3 linked regions of the Sus scrofa genome follow. The protein of the gene in region 1 interacts with the protein of each later gene in a biochemical or structural test. Links are inferred from orthologs where the notes say so. Each region holds a gene or a part of one and is shown on either strand. Other genes may lie near its edges. The genes, in order: USP21, ISG15 and AURKA.

Region 1 (7,632 bases):
ATCTTCTCATCCCTGTGTGGATACTTCTCCACTGGTCAGTCGATAGACTTGTATTAGGGCCACATGATGGGGGATAGGATTCTGTACTTTTTTTTTTTTTTTTTTTTTTTTTTTTTTTTGTCTTTTTGCCTTTCCTAGGGCCGCTCCGGCAGCATATGGAGCTTCCCAGGCTCGGGGTCTAATCGGAGCTGTAGCCTCCGGCCTACACCACAGCCATAGCAACTCAGGATCCGAGATGCGTCTGCGACCTACATCACAGCTCACTGCAACGCCAGATCCCTAACCCACTGAGCAAGGCCAGGGATCGAACCCACAACCTCATGGTTCCTAGTCGGATTCGTTTCTGATGCACCACGATGGGAACTCCTGGACTCTAGAGAGCTGCTTTGGAGCAATGGCTTAAAGACAACTTGGGGACTTCCCTCCTGGCTCAGCAGAAACAAATCTTACTAGCATCCATGAGGATGCAAGTTGATCCCTGCCTTCCCTCAGTGGGTTAAGTATCCCGCGTTGCTGTGAGCTGAGGTGTAGGTCGAAGACACGGCTGAGATCTGATGTGGCTGTGGCATAGGCCAGCAGCTACAGCTCTGATTCAGCCCTTAGCCTGGGAACCTCCATATGCCCCAGTGCCGCCCTAAAAAAGCAAAAATAAATAAATAAATACATAAATAAATACATAAATAAATGCAATTTGGGGCTGAGCTGGGAACCCAGGAGTCCTAAAGTTGGCTGTGTTTCCATGGTGTCGGTGGCGGAGCCGAGGGGGCGGGTTCACGCAAGCGCCGAGGAAGGAGGTGGGTGGATTCTGAGTGTGGGTGCGCAAGCGCTCTGAGAGACAGTGAAGCCGGCGGCCGGTGCCCGGGCGGGACCAAGAAAGATGGCGGCGGCCCCTGCGGCGGGAGAGACCTGGGCAACAGCTGCGGCTAAAGCTGCAGCCAGGCCCGCGGGGGTGCTGCACGCGGGTAGTAGGGGGTGGCCCTGAGCTGGGGCCTGGCCCCGGCTGGCCTCCCCCGCCGTCTTACCCGGGGACAGGTACGGTCCGGGACATTATGGCGTGGGGGTTGCCGAGGGAAGACTGCTCCCAGACCTGGGAGATCGCCCTCTACAAAGGCAGAGCAGAGGGCCCTGCAGGCCTGGGAGAACTGGGCTGGCGGGACCAGCATCCGTGGATCTTGGAGAATACGCCGCTGGACCCCGTAGCCAATCAGCAGCCTCGGCCTTTCTGCCCTCGAGGGGGGCGGACCCGGTTGATGCTGGCTGTGGTGGGAGAGGTGCAGAGATTAGAGGTCAGGGAGTTGTTCGTCCTCCCTCCTCGCCGCTACCCCTGAGCCCCAATACCACTTTGGAGCTCAGAGGTGGGGGAGGGAGTGATTGACAAGTCACTCTTTTAGTCTGCTTCGTTTGCAGCCTGGAGGGGCTGGAATCTGAGGATGGAATGCAGTCCTTTGGGCTCTTATACTTGCATCCACACCCCTCTTTGACCAGAGGTCCCAAGTGACCCAGGGCGCATCCCACTTGACTAGCTAGGAATGCGGGACCCTCATGAGTATTTAGATTATGAAGACAGCAGAGATAGGAACTATCTGTTGTTGGCTCTCTCATATTCTGCAGGAAGAGAGTGAGGAATGTGGAAAGAGTCAAAGCCCTGGCTTGCTGTATTCATTCATTCGTTCATTTACTCAGTGCATGTTAAGTATTTACTTTATGCCAAACACTATGCTAGGTATTGGGGATACAATGATTGATATGGTGGACATGGTTCCTGACCTCCATGTATGTAGAAGCTGGTATAGTAGGCTAGGTTCCCTCCTTCCTCCCTTTTCAAATGCTGACCCTCTCTTCTCCTCCCAGGTCCAGCCTGTGGTGTCCACAATGCCCCAGGCTTCTGAGCACCGCCTGGGACGGACCCGAGAGCCACCTCTTAATGTCCAGCCCCGAGTGGGATCCAAGCTACCATTTGCTCCCAGGGCCCGAAGCAAGGAGCGCCGAAACCCAGCCCCTGGGCCGAATCCCATGTTAAGACCTCTGCCTCCCAGGCCAGGTCCCCCTGAGGAACGTCTCAAGAAACTGGAGCTGGGACGGGGACGAACCTCAGGCCCTCGTCCCAGAGGCCCACTTCGGGCAGATCATGGAGTTCCCTTGCCTGGCTCACCACCCCCAACTGTGGCTCTGCCTCTCCCATCCAGGACCAACCTAGCCCGTTCCAAGTCTGTGAGCAGTGGGGACTTGCGTCCAATGGGGATTGCCTTGGGAGGGCACCGTGGCACCGGAGAGCTAGGGGCTGCACTGAGCCGCCTGGCTCTCCGGCCTGAGCCACCCACTTTGAGACGCAGCACCTCTCTCCGCCGCCTTGGGGGCTTTCCTGGGCCACCCACCTTGCTCAGCATACGGACAGAGCCCCCTACTTCCCATGGCTCCTTCCACGTGATATCTGCCCGGCCCTCTGAGCCATTCTACTCCGATGACAAGATGGTGAGGACTTGCCAGCACACATGGCCTTCCATGCTCATGTTCCTTCATGCTTCCAGCTTTCTTGCCATCATGTGGCTTTTCTTTCCCCCTTTTTCCCCAGGTTCATTTTTTTAACCCTTTGTTACAGCAGTTTGGACTCTCTCTCCCTTACTTAAGTGCCCTTGAGCCTCATAGACCCTTTTCAGGGTTGTCTGTGACTCTCCAGCAGGGTGTGCCATTTCATTCCCCAAGGAATTAACTCAACCATTTGGAATTCTTTGGGTCCCCAGGCCCTTACTTCCCCTTTCTGTACCTTCTCTCCTAGGATGCTACCTAAGTCTAATTAATCTCTGGAGCTGAAGAGGGGCGGGTTCAGAACATCTGAGCTAATGTGGTTGCCCATTTCCCGAGCTGAGTGAGCTAGGCTGAGTGCAGTTGGAGCCTTCAGGAGAGGGTGCAGGAAGGGGCCACGGGTGCAGGAGGGGGCCTTGGGGGTAGCAAGGTGGGGGTGGGGAGCAGCTGGGCAACCATGCCAGTGCTTGGGGAGTTGCCCCAGGAGCTGCATCGCCGGCTAGCTGGGCAGAGGAGTAAGTGGGCAACAGGTGGGACAGCCATGGCTGAGTCCGTGGTACACTCAGCTGTGATGGGCTTACTACTCATGGCCAGTGAGGTAGGGAGACCCCAATACCCAGTGAGGGAAAGAGTGTAGCGTTTGGGGGTGAAGGATGGGGTGGGGGAGGCAGTGGACAGCATGCTGTCAAAAGGATTAAAGTGCCAGGTGGGATGTATGGGAACCTGCTGACTGATCTCTGACCTTCCAGGCTCATCACACGTTGCTTCTGGGCTCTGGTCACGTTGGCCTCCGAAATCTGGGGAACACGGTGAGAGCCATTCTCCTGTCCTTCCTAATGGGAATGTGAACTGGTACTGGGGACAGGCATGGGGAAGGAGGGCACTGAAGTTCTCCCAGGGCTTCCTAGGCACTGGTTTGGAGAGATAATGGCAATGTCTCTGCTGCTCCCCAGTGCTTCCTGAATGCTGTGCTACAGTGTTTGAGCAGCACTCGGCCTCTTCGGGACTTCTGTCTGCGAAGGGACTTCCGGCAAGAGGTTCCTGGAGGGGGCCGAGCCCAAGAGCTTACTGAAGGTGGGGCAACAACTCCTGCTTCCTCCTTTCAAATCCTCTTTTTCCCAACCCATTGTAGGTCCATCTGCCAGTGTTGGTGGCCCCAACCCTGAAAGCCAGCAGTTTTGTCTTTTTCACAGTGCCTGCTTTCCTAGAGTTGTTTTCCACCCTCTTGCTTCCCTCTTCCAGTCGTTAACCTTTGTTTCCCTTCCCCACTCCCACCCTAATAGCCTTTGCAGATGTGATTGGTGCCCTGTGGCACCCTGACTCCTGTGAAGCTGTGAATCCTACTCGATTCCGAGCTGTCTTCCAGAAATACGTTCCCTCCTTCTCTGGATACAGGTGGGAGAACTGGAGGGTATGGGATTTCTCTCTGCCCATGTCTGGGGATAGGGCCAAGCAGGGGCCCTGGCAGCATCATTCTGAGCCTTGAGCTCTATCTAGGAAGTGGGGTCAGATGTCTGGGCACGGGTTAGTGACTGTGGACTAGGCAGGGGTCAGTTGCCCACGCTCTTTGTCTGGCTGCAGCCAGCAGGATGCCCAAGAGTTTCTGAAGCTCCTCATGGAGCGGCTACACCTAGAAATCAACCGACGAGGCCGCCGGGCTCCACCAATCCTGGCCAGTAGTCCAGCTCCCTCCCCACCCCGCCGAGGAGGGGCGCTGCTGGAAGAACCTGAGTTAAGGTAAGGTCGCGCCCCCTTTCTCTTGCCCATAGTTTATTAACAGCGTTCATCCTTCGCAGAAGTGAGCTAGTCAGGATTGAGGATGTAGAGTCCAAGGAAATGCTTATCGTAGAATTTGGTTTGAGAAGCAGTGCAGAAGTAGGAAGAAGGCAGGAGGAGGAGGGAGACTGAGGGGCACAGATGGAGGCAGAAGATAGTGCTGTGGCTGTCACCAGATTGACGGAGGAGGGGATAATTAATTTACAAGGTACATAGGGGTTTGAAGCCAGGTGGAGGAAGACGGCATGTTCTTCCCTTGTCTGTGTTCCTTTCTTTTCCTCTCACGTGGATTTCCCCGAAAAGTTCTCTGAAACGTTACTCGTTTGACTCTTCCTTGCAATTTTGAGAAGGAGCTGGGGTATGGGTGGGGTACAGGGCTCCGTGGATCATTTCAGTGGTGTTGGGGGTGCCCAGTGTTCCTGCTGTCTCATGGGTGCTCCCCACTTCCCTTGATCTGTGGTAGTGATGATGACCGAGCCAACCTAATGTGGAAGCGTTACCTGGAGCGAGAGGACAGCAAGATTGTGGGTATGGAACAAGACAAAGTGATGGGGGAAAATTCATGTGTGGGGGTGAAGACTTGGCAGGAAAAAATCAAGACTGTCGAGGGGTCTGGGAATAAGATGATGAAAATGTGGAAAAGTTAAGAGGGGAGAGTTAAGAGGGGAGAGTTGGCGATGGGAAAGAAGGGTCAGGCAAAGGGCTGGGAAGCGACAGGAATGCCAGAAAGCATCTCGGGCATCCCACAGTGACTTTTTCTCCTGCCCCTTTGCTTCTATCTAGACCTGTTTGTGGGCCAGTTGAAAAGTTGTCTCAAGTGCCAGGCCTGTGGGTATCGCTCCACGACCTTCGAGGTTTTTTGTGACCTGTCCCTGCCCATCCCCAAGGTGGGATTCCAGAGGATTCCGGGGGTGGATGGGACATGGGTTCTATGACCCAACCCTACCCACCCCCAGTGTGGGAGGGAACCATGTGGGTCTCTGGAGAAGAATCGAAGCTTGGGTTAATTGAGAAGAGTTGGAAAAGGAAATTCAGAACATGCTGACCCTTCACTCCCCTTTCCCCCCAGAAAGGATTTGCTGGGGGCAAGGTGTCTCTGCGGGATTGTTTCAGCCTTTTCACCAAGGAAGAAGAGCTAGAATCGGAGAATGCCCCAGTATGTGGAGGTTCACAAGGGATATAGTAAGGGTGGGATACCGGAGGTGGGGGAGGCTCCATGTGGGTAAAAGGGGTTGCATGATGCCTTAGTATGAGGAGTAACACTTATATGTAAAGATTTGTGTAGGAGTATTTTTCAGATATGTCCTGATCTGTCAGGGCAAAGGGCAGTGGCCCAGAGAACACAGAAGTAATAGGGAGCACAGTAAATTTATGTGAGTCAGGGTATTGGAAAAGACAACGGAGGTGAGGAGCACATTAACCTTATAACATTATTTGACATTTATTCAGGTGTGTGACCGATGTCGGCAGAAAACACGAAGTACTAAAAAGTTGACAGTACAAAGATTCCCCCGAATCCTCGTGCTCCGTATCCTAATCTTCAAATTCTTATTTCTCCCATTCATTCTTTTTCCTCATTCTCCAAGTTTGCAGAGGCTGGACATTTGGGGATTCGGTTTGCCTTAGGAAAAGGCTGCCACTCCATCTTTCCCTCCTGTGCTCCCAGTGTGTGTTCAGGGAGGGGAGTAGACAACATTCAGTTCCCCAGCCCCCTCAGAGGCCCTCTGCCTCCCAAATTCTCCTTAACCAGAACTTAGATCTTAATCGATTTTCTGCCTCCCGAGGCTCCATTAAGAAAAGTTCAGTAGGTGTAGACTTCCCACTGCAGCGACTGAGCCTAGGGGACTTTGCCAGTGACAAAGCCGGTGAGTCTGGGAAGGAGGGTCCTGAGGAGTTCCATGAAGGGGAGGGAGAGAATGGCGGAGCAGGGCACAGCTCTAACTATAGAATTTGGTCATCTCTAACCCTGAAGGAAGCCCCATATATCAGCTGTATGCCCTTTGCAACCACTCGGGCAGCGTCCACTATGGCCACTACACAGCCCTGTGCCGGTGCCAGACTGGTTGGCATGTCTACAATGACTCTCGGTGAGAACAGCCTTGCCCCATTCCTGCTGCAGCCTTGACACCTTTCCCCAGTATGAAGAAGCCCCAGGAGACAGTGCCTACTGAAAGGAGATGTGGGATTGGGGGTGTGGGGGCGGTGTCTTTCCTAGGCACCACCCGGATACTGTGATGTTGATCTTGTGGGGAGGAGGGTCTATACAGGAAAGATCACACCTCCTTCCCCATCTCCCTTCTTCCTAGTGTCTCCCCTGTCAGTGAAAACCAGGTGGCATCCAGTGAGGGCTACGTGCTGTTCTACCAACTGATGCAGGAGCCACCCCGGTGCCTGTGACCTCCCTTTTAATCCCTGGCACCTGTGAAATCCTTTCAACACCCTTAAGCCCCAGGCTCCCCATTTACCTCAGAGACGTCTATTTTTGTGTCTTTTTAATCGGGGAGGGGGGAGGGGGTGGTTGTACCTCCTATTATTTTTTTTATTAAAAAGTACCCTTCCACCTGGAGGCTCCCTTGTCTCCCAGCCCCATGTACAGAGCTCCCTAGGCCCTGCCCGTGTACAGTCCCCACACCCTCTGCAGTCTCACTTTTTTGTGAATAAATTTATTAAGAAAAAAAATGATGTTCTTTGTATTTGTGCCTAGCGAGTGGAGATATAGAACTGGGCCGAATGGGTAGTTTTCCTGGCACTCAGTTCCCTTTCTAAACGATGGGGGGCGCTCGGAGCCGTGAGGCTGAGGGTGGGGATGGGGATGCAGGATCGGGACGCGTTGATGCCCAAGTTTGCCAAAGCGGTGAAGGTTTACATTGGGAGGAAATGAAGGCTGCAGGGAGGCCTGGATCCAGAGTGCAGGCACTGGGTCGACGGGGTTTGCCGGCGTAGGGGCCTGCCCCGCGAGAGCAAAGCACCCAAGGACCCCTGTTGACAAACACGGTACGTTGCCGGGGCGCCCTAGCTCCCGTAGGCCCAGGCTGTTGCTAACATCAAGGAGCTGTTTATGGAGCCACCTCCCCGGGGACCAGCCTCCAGTGTCCCTGTCTACTCTCCCTACAACCAAGACTCATGAGGACCTTCCTCCAGGGTTCCAACCCTAGCTGGACCTGGCAAACTTGAGCTGGGGAATGTTAACCAGGATTCTGCTCTTGCCGCTCCAGCCCTGAGGGGAGGGCAGTACCGAATATGGCCGCTCTCTCCAACCTGGCACCGAACCGGTTAACCTCCAGCTCCCCGGCCTTCTACAAGGGTTGCCCCACCGCCTCTGAGGGAGGAGGA
Region 2 (6,761 bases), on another chromosome or scaffold:
CTGGCCATGGCGCTGGCGGAGGACGGCGGAAGGCGGCCGGAGCGAGCGCACGGGCCGGACCGCGCCGCAGACGGGACTGGACTGGACGGGACGCAGCTCCTGGGAGGCGGCGGGAGCGCGGGCAGCGCGGGGGCGGGCCGGGGGCGGGCCCGGGGCAGCACCACCCCCTTCCCGCCCCCCCCGCCCCGTCTGCGCCCGCCCCCGGCCCTCCCGGCGCCCAGCGACCCGCGCCGGCTGCGAACAAAGCGCCGGGACAGCGGCGCCGGGTGGAGGCCGGGCTGCGGAAGGGAGGGGGCCGGTCTGCGTCGGGCCAAGGTGGGTGGTGGGACTGGCCGGGGCGAAGGTGGGCCGGGCGGGGCGGGGGCGGGGGCGGGCCGGAGGGTGATCTCCTTGCTGCGACGCACCCCCACGGACGCCCCTGCCCCGCCCGCGCGGACGTTCTCCACCCCCACTCCCCCGCCAGGAAATGCGGCTGAAATCGGGTTAATGCATAATCTGGAGGCGACGTGACGGGACTTCCAAGGGGCTCCAGGCTGCGCCGGGGCTGGGGCGGCGAGGACTCCCCGGCTGCGGGGAGGGGCTGCCAGATCCGGGGCCCCACCGCCTCTTGAGCCCTGCAGGGCAGTGCCCCGCCCCCAGCAGGAGGGACTGACTGGGGACCCCAGCCCCTCGTTGGAACTGGGGACGGAAGCTCGGCCGGCCCGGGACCCCCTTCCTGCTGGGACCAATGCGGGCCGGGGGCTGCAGCGATTGGTCACAGGGAGTAGAGGCCCGCCCACCTCCCCCTCCCGGTAAGCTCCGGCCCCTCTGCAGGGAGACGGGCTCCCTCTGCCGCCACGAGGCTGCAATCGCGTGTCAGCAGTGGACGGCCGGCCACGCCCCCTCGCCCGCTCCCGGAGCTCCGCTAGGTACCGAAGGTAAGCCGAGAAGGGTATATGCTGAGATCCAGACCCGCTAACTTAGAGCATGACCTAGATGAAGGTGGTGGGGGGCGGGGGGCGGGGAGAGGAGATCCCTTCTGTCTCTCTAGGACTGGGTCCGCCGCGCACACCCTCACGCAAGCCGGCCGTGGATCTCGGAGCCAGAGGCAACGGAGGATGAGCAGCGGAAGAGACCCCTCTGGAGGAGGACGCTACTCCGCCCAGACCCTGGTGGAGGGATTCAAAAGAGGAGGGTGGCGCTGAGGGTGTGTGCTCACACTAAGTTACGGTATGACACAGAGGTGGGGGTGGAGGTGCAGGAAGTGAGGCTGGAGCCAGGAGCACCCCCGCCGATGCACCCTCACCTGCATATCTACACATATATCTGTCACAGGCAGGTCTGCTCCCCCTCCCCCACTCAGCTGTGGACCCCCACAGACCAGGAAGGAGGCTTCTGGGTCTTCAGCCAAATGCCCTGAAGAGCCCGAAAGCAGAGGTCCTCAGAGCCATGCCCAGAGAGGTCCACGTCCTGTGCTCCTGCCTCCCCCATGTCCAGGGCTGACTCAGCCTGGCTCCTGTGGGGCTCACGGGGGAGGCTGGCTTCCCTCACAGCTCACCCAGACAGGCCACAGGGGCTCATGCCCCCACTGCTTCCAGGGGCACTCACCTGGCCAGGCCTTCTCCTCCCTGTGCTATCTGCTGACCCAGATGTGGGGCTGCAGAGCTGACCACGGCACAGCAGGAAGACAAGGATGGGCTCTAGCGGCTGTGCCTCTTTTTATTTCTCTAGAAGGTAATTTCCCAAAGATGTGGGGACACATCTTCGATTTCTCTGGTGTGTGTGGGGCACCATTTTGATCCCACAAGGCTTGTCCCTTAACTTGGCAACTCTAGTCTGGTGACCACCCAGCAACCTCTGGGTCCCCTCATCCCACTCCCTCCTCCATCTCACCTCCTGTCTCACCAAAATGGGTGCAGAATGGAGGACTGACACCGAGATGGTGCTGGCCAGAGAAGAATGGACGCTTTGTTACACTCAATTTTGCCACAGCTTTATTACTAGCACTCGGTGAGGTGCTCCCCTGGCCCTGTCCCGCCCCCCCGCAGGCGCAGATTCATATACACGGTGCACATAGGCTTGAGGTCATACTCCCCCAGCTGGTGCTCATCCTCCATGGGCTTCCCCTCGAAAGTCAGCCAGAACTGGTCAGCTTGCACGCCCTCCTGCTGACACACCTGCTGCTTGAGCTCAGCCACTGTCTGCGTCAGCCAGACCTCATAGGCGTTGCTGCGACCCTTGTCGTTCCTCACCAGGATGCTCAGTGGGTCTCTGAAGCTTTGCACCATCAACAGGACTGTGCTGCCTGGGCCCAGGCCCTGGTTGACCAGGGGCACCCCATCCTGAAGCACATTGCCGGCTGGGTGAGCCAGACGCTGCTGGAAGGCGGGCACACCGATCTCCCGGGCGATCTGCTGCTTCAGGTCCGATGCCATCATGCAGTCCCTCAAGGGCACCAGGATCTCCTTGCCTCCCAGCATCTTCACCTTCAGTTCCCTACCCTGTGGGCGTCACACAGGCTCAGAGACCCTGTCACCAGTCCCAGGGCCACCACATAGTGGGGCAAAAGCTCCTAGAGCCCAGGAGTGCTGCTCCCTCCTCCCTACCCTCCCCACCCTCCAGGAGGGGGACCCCGGGCACTGGAGAGGGCAAGGGGGCATTTCTAGAATGGCCACCACCCACAACCATCATGTCACCTCCCTTCACCAGCTAAGATGCCTCCCTGTGCCGACCCCAAGGGATCTCAGCCCTCTGAGGACACAGACCCTGACGTCAGGAGGAGCCCCATCCCTCCCCTCATGCTTAGGAACCTGGCGGGCCCTGAGCAGCTCTGTCTGCCTGGTACACATAGGTGTTCTGCCCCTGGGAGAGGCCACCTGCCCCACCTGTCAAACCCCCCTCACCATGGCCGTGGGCTTTGGCGACAGGTCCTCTGTGAGCTCTGCTTCGCTGCCTCTGTGCGCTCTGCGTCGCTGCCGCTCAGCTCGCCGCTGCTCTTCAGCCGTGGCGGCTCAGCCCTTTAAAAAGCCTGAGCAGCCGCGTCAGAGGGCGGAGTCCAGGAGCCAACCACCGCGGGAGCCGAAATCGAAATCGGCTTCAGTTTCGGTTTCCTTTTCCCAAGGCAGGCTCCGGAGTGCATGGCAGGAAAAAACAAATAGCAATGACAGGACATTGAGGAAGGGGGTACAGAGTCTCTCCAGCTGCCAGCCAGGCACACGACAGCATCCCCGCCTCCAGAGGTACGTGTTCAGAAACCCCCGGCACGCCCAGTGCCTCACATCCTTTTCACGATGCACAAATAGCATCATAATACCGAGAGCTAACAATTGGCAACTTTCACTTTCCATTTACCAGTTTGCAAAATTAGGAACCTTGGAAATCATTGCCGGGGTTAATTCAGAAATAGCAAAACATAGTGACAGTCCAACCAAGCCAGAGATAACAACCATTGGTTTATGACAATATTTATTCAGGTTTTTTATTCAGATTTTTTAAATGAAAGAGATGTGTCTTTTATTTTCCATGAAAATGAACTCACGAATACTATTGGCAAGGTAAAAAAACTATCTACAAAATGGGAGAAAATATTTGCAAGTCATGTGTCAGTTAAGGGCCTAGTATCCATAATACATAAGGAACGTTTACAACTCAACAACAAAAAGATAAACAACTCATTTAAAAGTTGGGCAAAAGACTTCACAGACAGTTTAAAATAGAAAATACGTAAATGGCCAACAACCACATGAAAAGATGCTCAACATCACTGGCCATCAAGGAAATGCACATCAAAACCACAGCGAGATACCATGTCACACCCACTAGCATGACAATAATAATAACAACGATTAAAAAGAGAACAGTAACAAGTGCTGGTGAAGGTGTGGAGACATTGGAATCCTCATACATTGCTGATGGGAATGAGAAGTGGTGCAGCCACTGTGGAAAACAGTCTAGTCAATCCTCAAAATGTTAAACAGAATTTTCATGTGATTCAGCAATTGCATTTCTGGGCACAGGCCCTAGAGACCCGAAGACAGGTGTTCAAACAAATGCTTGCACAGAAATGTTAACAGCAACTCCGTTCACAGTAGAGGAGTCATAGAAATGGGGTGGGGGGAGGAACCAAATCCATCAGCAGGTGGAGGCCTCACCAAAGTATGGCCCATCCTGGAGTTCCCGTCGTGGTGCAGTGGTTAACGAATCCGACTAGGAACCATGAGGTTGCGGGTTCGGTCCCTGCCCTTGCTCAGTGGGTTAACGATCCAGCGTTGCTGTGAGCTGTGGTGTAGGTTGCAAACGTGGCTCGGATCCTGTGTTGCTGTGGCTCTGGCCTAGGCCGGTCGACTAGCCTGGGAACCTCCATGTGCCGCGAGAGCGGCCAGAGAAATGGCAAAAAGACAAAAAAAAAAAAAAACCAAAAAAACAAAAACAAAGTATGGCCCATCCTTAGGGTGGAACACTCTTCAGCCATAAAAACGAGTGAAGCACTGCCACAGGCTACACTGTGAGGGAACCTTGAAAATATGGTGCTCAGTGAAAGAAGATAGACACAGAAGGTCACATATTGTGTGACTCTGTGGAATGGCCACACGCGGCCAGTCCATGGAGACTCAAAGTTGTCCGGTGGTAGCCAGGGGCTGGGGGAGGGGGGAAGAGTGGCAGCGAAGGACACAGGTCTCCTTTGGGATGGTGAAATGTTTCAGAACTGCATCAAGTGACGGCTGTGCCACACTGTAAATATGCTAAAGGCCACTGAATTACATACTTTAAAGCGGTTAAGTTTATGTTGCATGGAATTCCCGCTGTGGTGCAATGGGATCGACGGTCTTGGGAGCGCTGTGACATGGGTTCCATCCCTGGCCCAGCACGGTGGGTTAAGGACTCGGCGTTGCTCTGAGCTATGGTGTAGGTTGCAGATGCCTCTCGGATCCTGTGTGGCTGTGGCTGTGGTGTAGGCCGGCAGCTGTAGCTCTGATTCGACCCCTAGCCTGGGACGTGAGTGCAGCCCTAAAAAACAAACAAACAAACAAACAAAAACAAAAAAAAAACACCCTCCTAACTACTGTCACCGTTTTGTAACCTGCTTCATTCTTAGATGTGTTTAAACATCTTTCCATAGTAATAGATACTTTTATGCAAGTTGTTTTAGTGTCTGCGTATGTTCCCCACAGCATCAGGAGTCTACTGGAGAATAGGATGCAATCAGGAGTTCCCCTGTGGTTCAGTGTGTTAAGGATTCGGTGTTGTCACTGCAGTGGCCTGGGAACTTCCACATGCTGCAGGCGTGGCCAGAAAAAGAGCAAAGAATAGAGTGTAATTAATTAACCCATCCCATATTGTTGAATATTTAGGTTGTTCTCAAATTTTCACTATTACAAACTGCACATTATAGGCATATGTTTGCTAAAAATAAATAGATAATTAATTTTTAAAATAAATAGCTTTAAGTGAACTCAGTCAGACAATGAGACACCAACATCAAATGCTTTCACTGACATGTGGAATCTGAAAAAAGGACAGAATGTACTTCTTTGCAGAACAGATACGGACTCACAGACTTTGAAAAACTTATGGTTTCCAAAGGAGACAGTTTGAGGGGTGGGGGGATGCGCTGGGGGTGTGGGATGGAAATCCTATAAAATTGGATTGTGATGATCATTGTACAACTATAAATGTAATAAATTCATTGAGAAACAAACAAACTAAAATAAAGTAAAAATAATTTTAAAAACATTTTTGTCTTTTATTCTTTTCCCTTTAAAAATAATTTTAAAGAAAAAAAAAGTAAATAAACTTTTAAAAAGAAAGTAATGAGTTCTGGTGGCCTAGTGGTTAAAGGATCCAGTGCTGTTGCGGCTGTGGCTTGGGTCACTGCTGTGGCGTGGGTTCCATCCCTGGCCCTCAAACTTTTGCATGCTGCAGGTGCAGCCAAGAAATAAATAAATAAATAAATGGAAAATACAAAGTATTTTGAATATAAATTGATCATTCCACCTCCCCTTCCCCCAAATGATCTCATAGGGTACCAAAGTTGCTAACATGCCAAAAACAGTTGAAAAAATTGGTTCTTCATATGATTGAAAATTTTTTCTTGACACACTCCTTGCATAAATATTAGTATTATAAAAAGAAAACTGCAAATATAACAAAAGAATAAGAATGTGAAAACCCTTCAATCTCCTTCAGCTGACCATTATTAAACATGGCACAAAGATAAAGAAATTAAAAAATTAAAACAGTTACAAAGAAGTTTAAAAATAAAAACATAAGGAGTTCTCTTATGGTGCAGGAGGTTAAGGATGCAGTGTTGTTGCTGCAGCAGTGTGACTTGCTGGCATGGCATGGGATCAATCCCTGGGCTGGAAATTTCCACATGCTACAGGTGCAGCCAAAAAAAAAAAAAAGCTATTCTGATTTTATGTGGCTTATAGAAGATCCCAATTATCTAAAATATAGACATAAAGGAAATTTGAAAGTAAAAGGATGGAAAGAAACGAATCACATAAATATTAACTAAAAGGAAGCAGATATGGCCATATTAACAATTTTATTAATAGATTACCAAAGAAATCTTACAGGTAAATCACTATTTGATATAGAAGTTTGCATAACAATAAAAGGTTGAGTTCATTGGTAAAATAAAATTATTTCAAACTTGTATGCAAAAAAAAAAAAATAAAAATAAAAAATAGGAGTTCCCATCGTGGCTTAGTGGTTAACGAATCCGACTAGGAACCATGAGGTTGCAGGTTCGATCCATGGCCTCGCTCAGTGGGTTAAGG
Region 3 (8,166 bases), on another chromosome or scaffold:
TCTCCAGGAGTTCCCATCAAGGAACAGCGGAAACAAATCCGACAAGGAACCCTGAGGTTACAGGTTCAATCCCTGGCCTCACTTGAGGGTTAAGGATCTGGTGTTGCTATGAACTGTGGTGTAGGTCACAGACATGGCTTGGATCCTGCATTGCTGTGGCATGCGCTGGCAGCTATAGCTCCAATCTGACCTCTAGCCTGGGAACCTCCATGCACCATGGGTAAGGCCCTAAAAAGCAAATAAATAAATAAAAATTAAAAACAATTTTAAAACGTTGCAATTCTCACTTAAAATAAAAAAATAAAGATATAAAAAAATCCTTTTGGGTTTGAGATTATAGATTATTCGATTTACCTTAAGCCCCGAAATGCAGTTTTCTTTACATTTGTCCATGATACCTGAAAAGAAAAAAGAACCACCTATAATTTATAAAAATCCATCTGCTTCAAAGTGCTATGCTGGATCAGGGTTATAAATCCTGACAAAAAAGCCTCACCATCACACAGAATTTTAGTCTGTCATCTAAATGAGGCTGATAAGGGAGCAGTGTTTTCCCACATGCCATAAAGCACAGGTGGGGGCCTTCCCCAAGAGACTAAGCTCTCCCCTCATCCACCCCATCCCACCCCACCCCTGACAGCTCCAACTTCACTCCTGAACCGCCTGGTCCCTCTGCTCCATCTTCTCCCTAGTGGATCAGGTCCATCAGTGTACAGACCCGCTTCCATACCCACAGCCTTAAAAAAGGAAAAAAGTCCTCTTTACCCCACACTGACTCGAGCTAAGACCACATCTCTCTCCTCTTTCAACATCCAAGGGCCACAAGCTCACTCCCTCGGGGCTGTTATCCCCCCAACCGGTCAGGCTCCTGACAGACCCCTGCAGAGCCTGAACTGGCTACAGCCAAACCCAAAGTCCAATTCTCTGCCCCTCTTATTCACATTCCCCACATTCCCCAGCATCAGACACTTTTCCCTCTCCTTTCTTCACTTAGCTGGCAGGTGATTCTCCCATCTTACCAGCTGTCCCACTGCAACCTCCTTTTGACCAACCACAGTGTCCGGATGCCCCACTTCTCCACCTACGCCTTCCCTAAGGCCCCTCACCCAGCCCCAGGGCCTAAATTTTTTTTTTTTTTTTTGCTTTTTAGGGGCACACATGCGGCATATGGAGGTTCACAGGCTAGGGATGAAATTAGAGCTACGGCTGTCAGCCTATGCCACAGTCATGGCAAAGTGGGATCTGAGCTGCGTTTGCAACCTACACCACAGTTCATGGCAACACCAGATCCCCAGCCCACTGGGCAAGGGCGAGGACTGAACCTGTATCCTCAAGGATACTAGTAGGATTCTTTTCCCCTGCGCAACCAAGGGAACTCCCGGCCTAGACATCTTTATTAAAAGAACTGGAACCTGGGTCTTCTGCCTTCCCGTCTCCCCCCACAGCTGGGCTCAGCCCTCTAACAACCCGCTCACACCCTCAGAAAGCCTGCCTGGTACCCCAAGCCAACACACCACATGAAACAAGCACTGCACGCTTGTTTCCCCTCCACTCAGGCCACAAACACTTCTTCCCCAACCACTCTCACTCCCCTGGGGAGCCAGCCCATCCAGTCCCCCTGGCTTTCAACCCCATCCACAGGCTGAGCAGCCCCAAATCTCCATCTCAAGCCCAGACCTCTCCTTTCAACTCCCACCACCTGATCATCGGAGGCATCTGAGTTTTATCAAGTCCCAAACTGAAGTCCTGCTCCCTCCTCACACCGTCTCCCGGAAACCCCATCCTGCCAGGTGCTCAAGCCTTAGGCCTTAGCCGTCTTCACATGGTTCTCCCTCAAACCTATCTACCCCATCGGCGTATCTCACAGGCTCCCTCCTCAAAAATCACTGCTCAAACTTTACTACTCCCACCTGGTCAAACCACACTCCACCCCCTTCCCCTTAATTACCTGCGAAAAGCTCCCAATGGTGACTCTGCTTCCACCCTTGCCCCTTTGTGGTCCTCTCCCAACACAGTGCCCAGTGATCCCACTAACAAATCGAGATATTCTGGGAGTTCCTGTGATGGCCCAGCAGAAATGAATTCAACTAGGAACCACAAAGATGCGGGTTCGATCCCTGGCCTTGCTCAGTGGGTTAAGGATCCGGTGTTGCCATGAACTTCAGTGTAGGTCACAGACATGGCTTGGATCCCATAGTGTTGCTGTGGCTGTGGTGTAGGCCGGGAGCTACAGCTTAGATTGGACCCCTAGCCTGGGAACGCCGTATGCCACAGATGTGGCCCTAAAAAAAAAAAAAAAAATTTAAAAAAGCAAAAGCACTCATTCGTCCCATGCTTTCACATCCACTTGATAAGCAAGCAAATAACTCTCCCTTGAAGGTGGGAATAGGCTAAAGAAACTGGAGTCCTATATCAAACAGTCACTTAGAAATAACAGACAGGGAGTTCCCATCATGGCTCAGCAGTAATAAACCTGATAGTATCCCTGAGGACTCAGGTCCAATCCCTGGCCTTGCTCAGTGGGTTAAGGATCCAGTGCTGCTGTGAGCTTTGGTGTAGGTGACAGACACCGCTCGGATCTGGCGTGGCTGTGGCCGGGAGCTACAGCTCTGATTCGACCTCTAGCCTGGGAACTTTCATATGCAGAGGGTGGCCCCCCCCAAAAAAAGAATAGAAAGGAAAAGGAAATATATTTTCATTATGAGAACATTAATTTCACAATGCTCTGATGCTTCACTCTCCCTTAACAATTATAAGCAGCAAACTAATGAGATCACGGAGGCCCATGGACATTTATTCCACAGTCTTCAATGGAAGCTGCAGATATTTGCTGTAGTCTAATACACTTTTCCTTCTCAGGAAGAATAAACAGCAGAATAAATCTCTGATCCAGAAATTCTGGAGAGCTGCAGGAAGACTGCTTCTCAGGTGATTCTGGTTTACAGCCAAGCACAGGAGTCAAATGCAGAGGACCTGCACGAGATCCCTGCAGTTCACACCAGAGATCCTACTGGTCTAAATAGGAAAGTCGATATTTAATAGCACTGTGGGTTTAGACTTTTTCTTTCTTTGTCAAACCTACAAATGCCTGGAAAAAATGAAGCATGGAAAGGAAATAAGGTGCATAATTCAAAGAAAAGGGAACGTTAAGGGTGACTTTTACTGCCTCCTGCTCAAGGGTGGTAGCCAGGACGTTTGTTAGAAATGGAAACTTTTCAGGTCCGATCCCAGACCTAACAAACCAGTTCCCGCATTTCAACATCCCCGTTCCCGCATTTCAACATCCCCAGATAACCATCGAGCGCTGGGCTAGATCACAGGTTCTCAATGAACCATCAGAACCACCTGCACAGCTTGACAAAAACACAGACACCTGAGTCCTAAGCCCAAGCACTTCTGATCCATTAGGTGGGACCCTACTTTTTCCCAAGGATCCTCAAGCAGTCCTGATAAAGGCAGTCCAAGGTCTACAGTTTGAGAAGCACTGGCCCGCGAAGGCCTCTTCCGAGAAGTTATTTACTCACCCACTCACCCAACCGGCCCGGACACGAGCCTTTGCAGCTAGTCTAAGGTCGCCCCCGTGCCTAACATTCACCACTATCGATACCTCCCTAAGTTCGTCGCCTGCTCTCCACCGCCCCCCAAGCACGTACACTCCAAGACAATAAAAAACTTTATTTTTCTCACCCAGGTGCTCACTGAAAGCACACTGCCCACCCCACCAGCTCAACAACCCCATCCACTCCAGGCGTTTAATAACACCAAGTGGCGTCTTACAGGGCGCCTCGGGACCAGGAGCAGAGGGGAGGGCTCTGGGGAAGCACCAGGCTGGGGCGCGGGGCCGGGGGGGGGGTGCAGGGGGACCCTTTCTCGCCCCGACCCTCCCATGCAAGCCCCGCAGCCCCACCACCCGCTTCCCTCCCACCCTCTCGCTGAGGCCACCCACCCAGCGGCTGCCCGCCCTCCTGAGAGCTGCTCCGGGGCTACGCACCTAGGGGTTCTCACCTCCAACTTGAAAACAGCGCTTCCTCCAGAGGGCTCAGCCGTTAGGACGCAAAGTCTTCATTTTAAATAGGAGTTAAACCCTCTTAGCCGAAAGCTGATTGGCCTGAGTCAGAGAGGCGCTACCTTTTCATTGGTTCAAGGCCAACTCGCCGGCTTGAGTCACAGCCCAGGAGAGGCGGCGCGCAGGCGTACTTCCTCCGTGAGGCCCCGGAAGTGGTGGAGCCAACGGCCCGCCACATCCGAGGCCGTTCGAGAGCCCACAGGGCTCTCCTGGTCTGACATTTATCGGTGAGACAGCAGGGCTTTGGCGTCAGGGCCCCCGCGTAGGAGATAAAGTCTGAGGAGGTGAACGAACCTCCCGAACACGCCCGTGAGTAAGATGGCGAGAAGGGCAGGAACGAGTGGGTTCGATCGATAGCGCAGCGCTCGGCGCGACGCCCTTTGCGCGTGCGCAGTGCACGTGCACGCGGAGCGATCGATTGGGCAGGATTCGCGTCTCCATTTTTCTAGGAGAGAGCGGGAGACCGGAGAGAGCGGGTATGGGGGGCCCGGGTTTCGCGGAGAGTGGCTGGTGCGGTCGGCTGGGCCCTTTGGGAGACCACAGGAAGGGGCGAGGCGGGAAGGGTCGACGGTGAGCGATGCGGCCTGTGCCCTGAGTTGCCAGGCTAAGGCTGCATTTGCTCCTCCTCTTCAAAGGCCTCGCTCTCACTCTCTCTCCATCCCCAGTTGGCCTTTAGGTCCGGGTGATAGCGGAACGTACGGTGAGGGGGGCGTCTGTGTTCTCGCCGCGGTGCTCCTTCCAACTCCAGGTACGACCAGTCCTGGGTGGGCCTCTTCCTATCCTCTGGCCGCAGCCCCTTCACCTGCAAACTGGGGATGGTAATTAGGCACTTACTCGCCCAGCGAGCGAACGTTCTTTGGGAGTTGGGAAGCAGGGCTTGTCCTGTCTTTCTTATTTTAACCTTTTGGTACGCCTCCTGATGCTCCTGGCTTAAGTGGAGATACAGGATGGAATAGTGCTCAAGCTCTGGGCTCTGGTGTGGGCAATCCCAGTGGCCACTTTAACCTTGGACGAGTTTCGCAGCAGCATTCTGTTTGCAGTGTTTCCTAACCTTTTTGAGCCAGTTTGATCATCAATGTTGTGTCCTAGTGGGTGTATGTATATATGTGTGTGTATATATATAATTTGTTTTTTCTCCGTATACTTTAAATATATCTTAAGAGTTTAGCGTGGTGTTTGGCAATTGCTTAGTAAATGTTAGCTGTTGGTATTAACACTCATCAGTGCAGCACAGTAAGAACTCAGGCTCTGGGCTCAAATAGATTAGTTTAAGGTTCAGGTTCTGCCATTTACAAGCTCTTGGGTCCTGGGTTAAGTTAATCTCTCTGGGCCTCAGGTTGCCTACCTCTAAAATGAGATTTGATGAGGACTGAACAAGGTAATGCATATTAGTTGCTTACAACATGTGTATTACTGTATTAAATGTCTAATGGATTTTTACTGGTTCATTAAGTTTTTAAGGAGCACTACAGGCAGTGGAAACAGCACAGTCTCTAGAGTCAAATCACCTGCATTCTAATTCACGTTCCTTGGGCAGTAGACCTTGGCCAAGCTATTGCCCCTCCTCACCTGTAAACAGGATTACTGAACCTCCTTTATAGGGTGTTGAGGATTAATTGAGAGGAAACATGGTAAAAAAAAAAAAACTCAATAAATGTTAGCTCTTCTTATTATCATTAGCCTCAGTAATTCTCCAGGGGGCAGTGTGTAGTTAAAAAACACTGTTCCCCACAACACCTCCCACTTGCAGTCACCCCTGTGAGGTACAACAATACCAGTAGATACCAGTGTTAGCTGCCCACTCACTGCCCTTTTTCATAGTCATCTCTCCTGTGCTTCTGCCTTCCAGTTTTCTCCTCTGCCACAGCTACCTATCTGCCTTTGACTTTTTGTTGTTGTTGTTATTTCCCCAATACAATTTTTTTTTCTCCCATACAGCATGGTGACCCAGTTACACATACATGTATACATTCTTTTTTCTCACATTATCATGCTCCATCGTAAGTGACTAGACATAGTTCCCAGTGCTACACAGCAGGATCTCATTGCTAATCCATTCCAAAGGCAATAGTTTGCATGGATTAACCCCAAGCTCCCAGTCCACCCCACCCCCTCCCCCTCGGCAACCACAAGTCTCTTCTCCATGACTTTTATTCTTTTTTTTTTTTTTTTTTTGTCTTTTTGCTATTTCTTTGGGCCGCTCCTGCGGCATATGAAGGTTCCCAGGCTAGGGGTCCAATCGGAGCTGTAGCCACTGGCCTACGCCGGAGTCACAGCAACGCGAGATCCGAGCCACGTCTGCAACCTATACCACAGCTCACGGCAACGCCGGATCGTTAACCCACTGAGCAAGGGCAGGGACCGAACCCGCAACCTCATGGTTCCTAGTCGGATTTGTTAACCACTGCGCCACGATGGGAACCCCCCCCCTTTTTTTTTGACTTTTATTCTTTATTGCTGTTTGCCCCGGCAGCCTTCCGGCATCTGTACAGACGTACATTTATGTACAGACATTGATTTTTATAATCAAGTTATCTAATCATGTCCACCATTTGGAGTTTGTTTTTGTTTTTGCACAAACCGAAAACCAGCATCTAGTTTTTTTCTCTAAGACAAGGGAAAACTTGAGCCCTTATAAATCAGCCTGAGTGCATAGCCCTTCACATTTTTCCTTTTATAGTTGTTTCACCATATCCCATTTGCCAGTATTTTATCTGCGACCTACACCTACAGCTCACAGCAACGCCCAATCCTTAACCCACTGAGCAAGGCCAGGGATCGAACCCGCAACCCCATGGTTCCTAGTCGGATTCATTAACCACTGCACCACGACGGGAGCTCTGCCAGTATTTTATTAAGCCATTGATCTTTGAATCTTTCCGAAGCGTTCAACTTGATTTCATTTTCATAGCACAGTAGCTTTTTAGCTCTCATGTTTTGATTTACTGCCTAAGGAAATCATAGAATTTAACAAGCTTAGTTGCCTTAAAACATATGTTAAGAATGAACATAAGTAAACCTAACAGCTCAGCTGGTGCAGGCAGTAGTGTCTAGACATCTGACGATACCAGCTGTCTTTCCCATTGCAAATATGAGCCAGTGTTTTATTAACAGAAGAAATGGAAGGTTCTGGGATAGCAGTAAAGAATAAAAATCACAGGTGGGTAGTTTGGCAGAAAAGAAAAGTTGAAGAAGAGAGGTCTCACTGTAAATATTGGCTAACAGGATTTGAACAGTTTCTTCGTGCCGCTGCGCTCCATGCTCTGCATGCACCATCTTGTTGAACCTTCACGAACCTATTTAACAGCTGTGAACCTGCTCCCAGAGAAACAGGGCTGTGGACCGAATAAACGCAGCTGATAGAGCTGGGGTTTCAGCCCTGAAGGTCTGACCAGATTCCTGTGTTGCTTCTGTGATAGCCCAGTGCCTCTGCCCTTCATCATCCGCTTGCCTTCTCTCTTGCAGCTGGCAGGGAAACTGTCTTCCTCTCTAAGATGTACAGAACCAAAGTGGGTTTGAAGGACCGTCAGCAGCTCTACAAGCTGATCATCAGCCAGCTGCTCTATGATGGCTACATCAGCATTGCTAATGGCCTCATCAACGAAATCAAGCCTCAGTCTGTCTGTGCACCCTCAGAGCAGCTCCTGCATCTCATCAAACTAGGTAACTCGTGCGTGCAAGTTCCTTGTGTCCGTGACAAGGTTTCAGATGTTTTCCACCAGTGCTAGAGGGTGAAGGAGTAGGCAGAGATCCAGATTGTGATGGTGTCCAGCCGGTTCTGGGCAAAGGATCGGTATACGAATCATCTGGAGCTTTCTGCCATTGTTACGGACTTGGTTGAAGGCTCAGCTCAAGTGGTCACCTCAGATGCCTCTTCTTCTCTTCTAAAATAACCCAGGTATCTTCCCGGTACTTCCCCCGTTGCTCTAAAACAACACTCCCGTTTCCTTCGTGACTGAATCACTGCCTGAGGTTTTCTTCATTGTTTCCCGCCATCTGTAGCACCTCCCCTCAAAAGACTGCACATTTGATAAAGGCCTTGAACTTCTTCTTGTGTAGCAGTATATCCTGGTGCTTGCCTGGGTCATAGAAAGCACTAG

What was found.
Region 2: the proteins of USP21 (region 1) and ISG15 form a complex in vitro, tested with the Homo sapiens proteins (2 studies listed by BioGRID, with this or other methods). The link is inferred for Sus scrofa from reciprocal best matches to the Homo sapiens genes USP21 and ISG15.
Region 3: the proteins of USP21 (region 1) and AURKA form a complex in vitro, tested with the Homo sapiens proteins (2 studies listed by BioGRID, with this or other methods). The link is inferred for Sus scrofa from reciprocal best matches to the Homo sapiens genes USP21 and AURKA.

Annotation. Positions count from the first base shown.
Region 1 is NC_010446.5:89,288,402-89,296,033, reverse strand, and holds USP21 (ubiquitin carboxyl-terminal hydrolase 21), read left to right. Parts: upstream 1-801; 5' UTR 802-1,032; intron 1,033-1,851; 5' UTR 1,852-1,872; coding exon 1,873-2,472; intron 2,473-3,272; coding exon 3,273-3,332; intron 3,333-3,476; coding exon 3,477-3,597; intron 3,598-3,806; coding exon 3,807-3,918; intron 3,919-4,104; coding exon 4,105-4,260; intron 4,261-4,762; coding exon 4,763-4,827; intron 4,828-5,082; coding exon 5,083-5,186; intron 5,187-5,368; coding exon 5,369-5,455; intron 5,456-5,748; coding exon 5,749-5,827; intron 5,828-6,056; coding exon 6,057-6,164; intron 6,165-6,271; coding exon 6,272-6,386; intron 6,387-6,605; coding exon 6,606-6,696; 3' UTR 6,697-6,978; downstream 6,979-7,632. UniProt on the Homo sapiens protein: Deubiquitinates histone H2A, a specific tag for epigenetic transcriptional repression, thereby acting as a coactivator.
Region 2 is NC_010448.4:63,359,401-63,366,161, reverse strand, and holds ISG15 (ubiquitin-like protein ISG15), read right to left. Parts: upstream 2,962-6,761; 5' UTR 2,886-2,961; coding exon 2,883-2,885; intron 2,481-2,882; coding exon 1,980-2,480; 3' UTR 1,951-1,979; downstream 1-1,950. Other genes in the region: AGRN (agrin), read right to left, coding at 1-8; uncharacterized protein LOC110261384, read left to right, coding at 7-315, 1,031-1,399.
Region 3 is NC_010459.5:56,968,033-56,976,198, forward strand, and holds the start of AURKA (aurora kinase A), read right to left. Parts: upstream 4,404-8,166; 5' UTR 4,006-4,403; exon of another isoform or gene 3,992-4,005; intron 399-3,991; 5' UTR 394-398; coding exon 355-393; intron 1-354. Other genes in the region: CSTF1 (cleavage stimulation factor subunit 1), read left to right, coding at 7,561-7,729. UniProt on the Homo sapiens protein: Mitotic serine/threonine kinase that contributes to the regulation of cell cycle progression.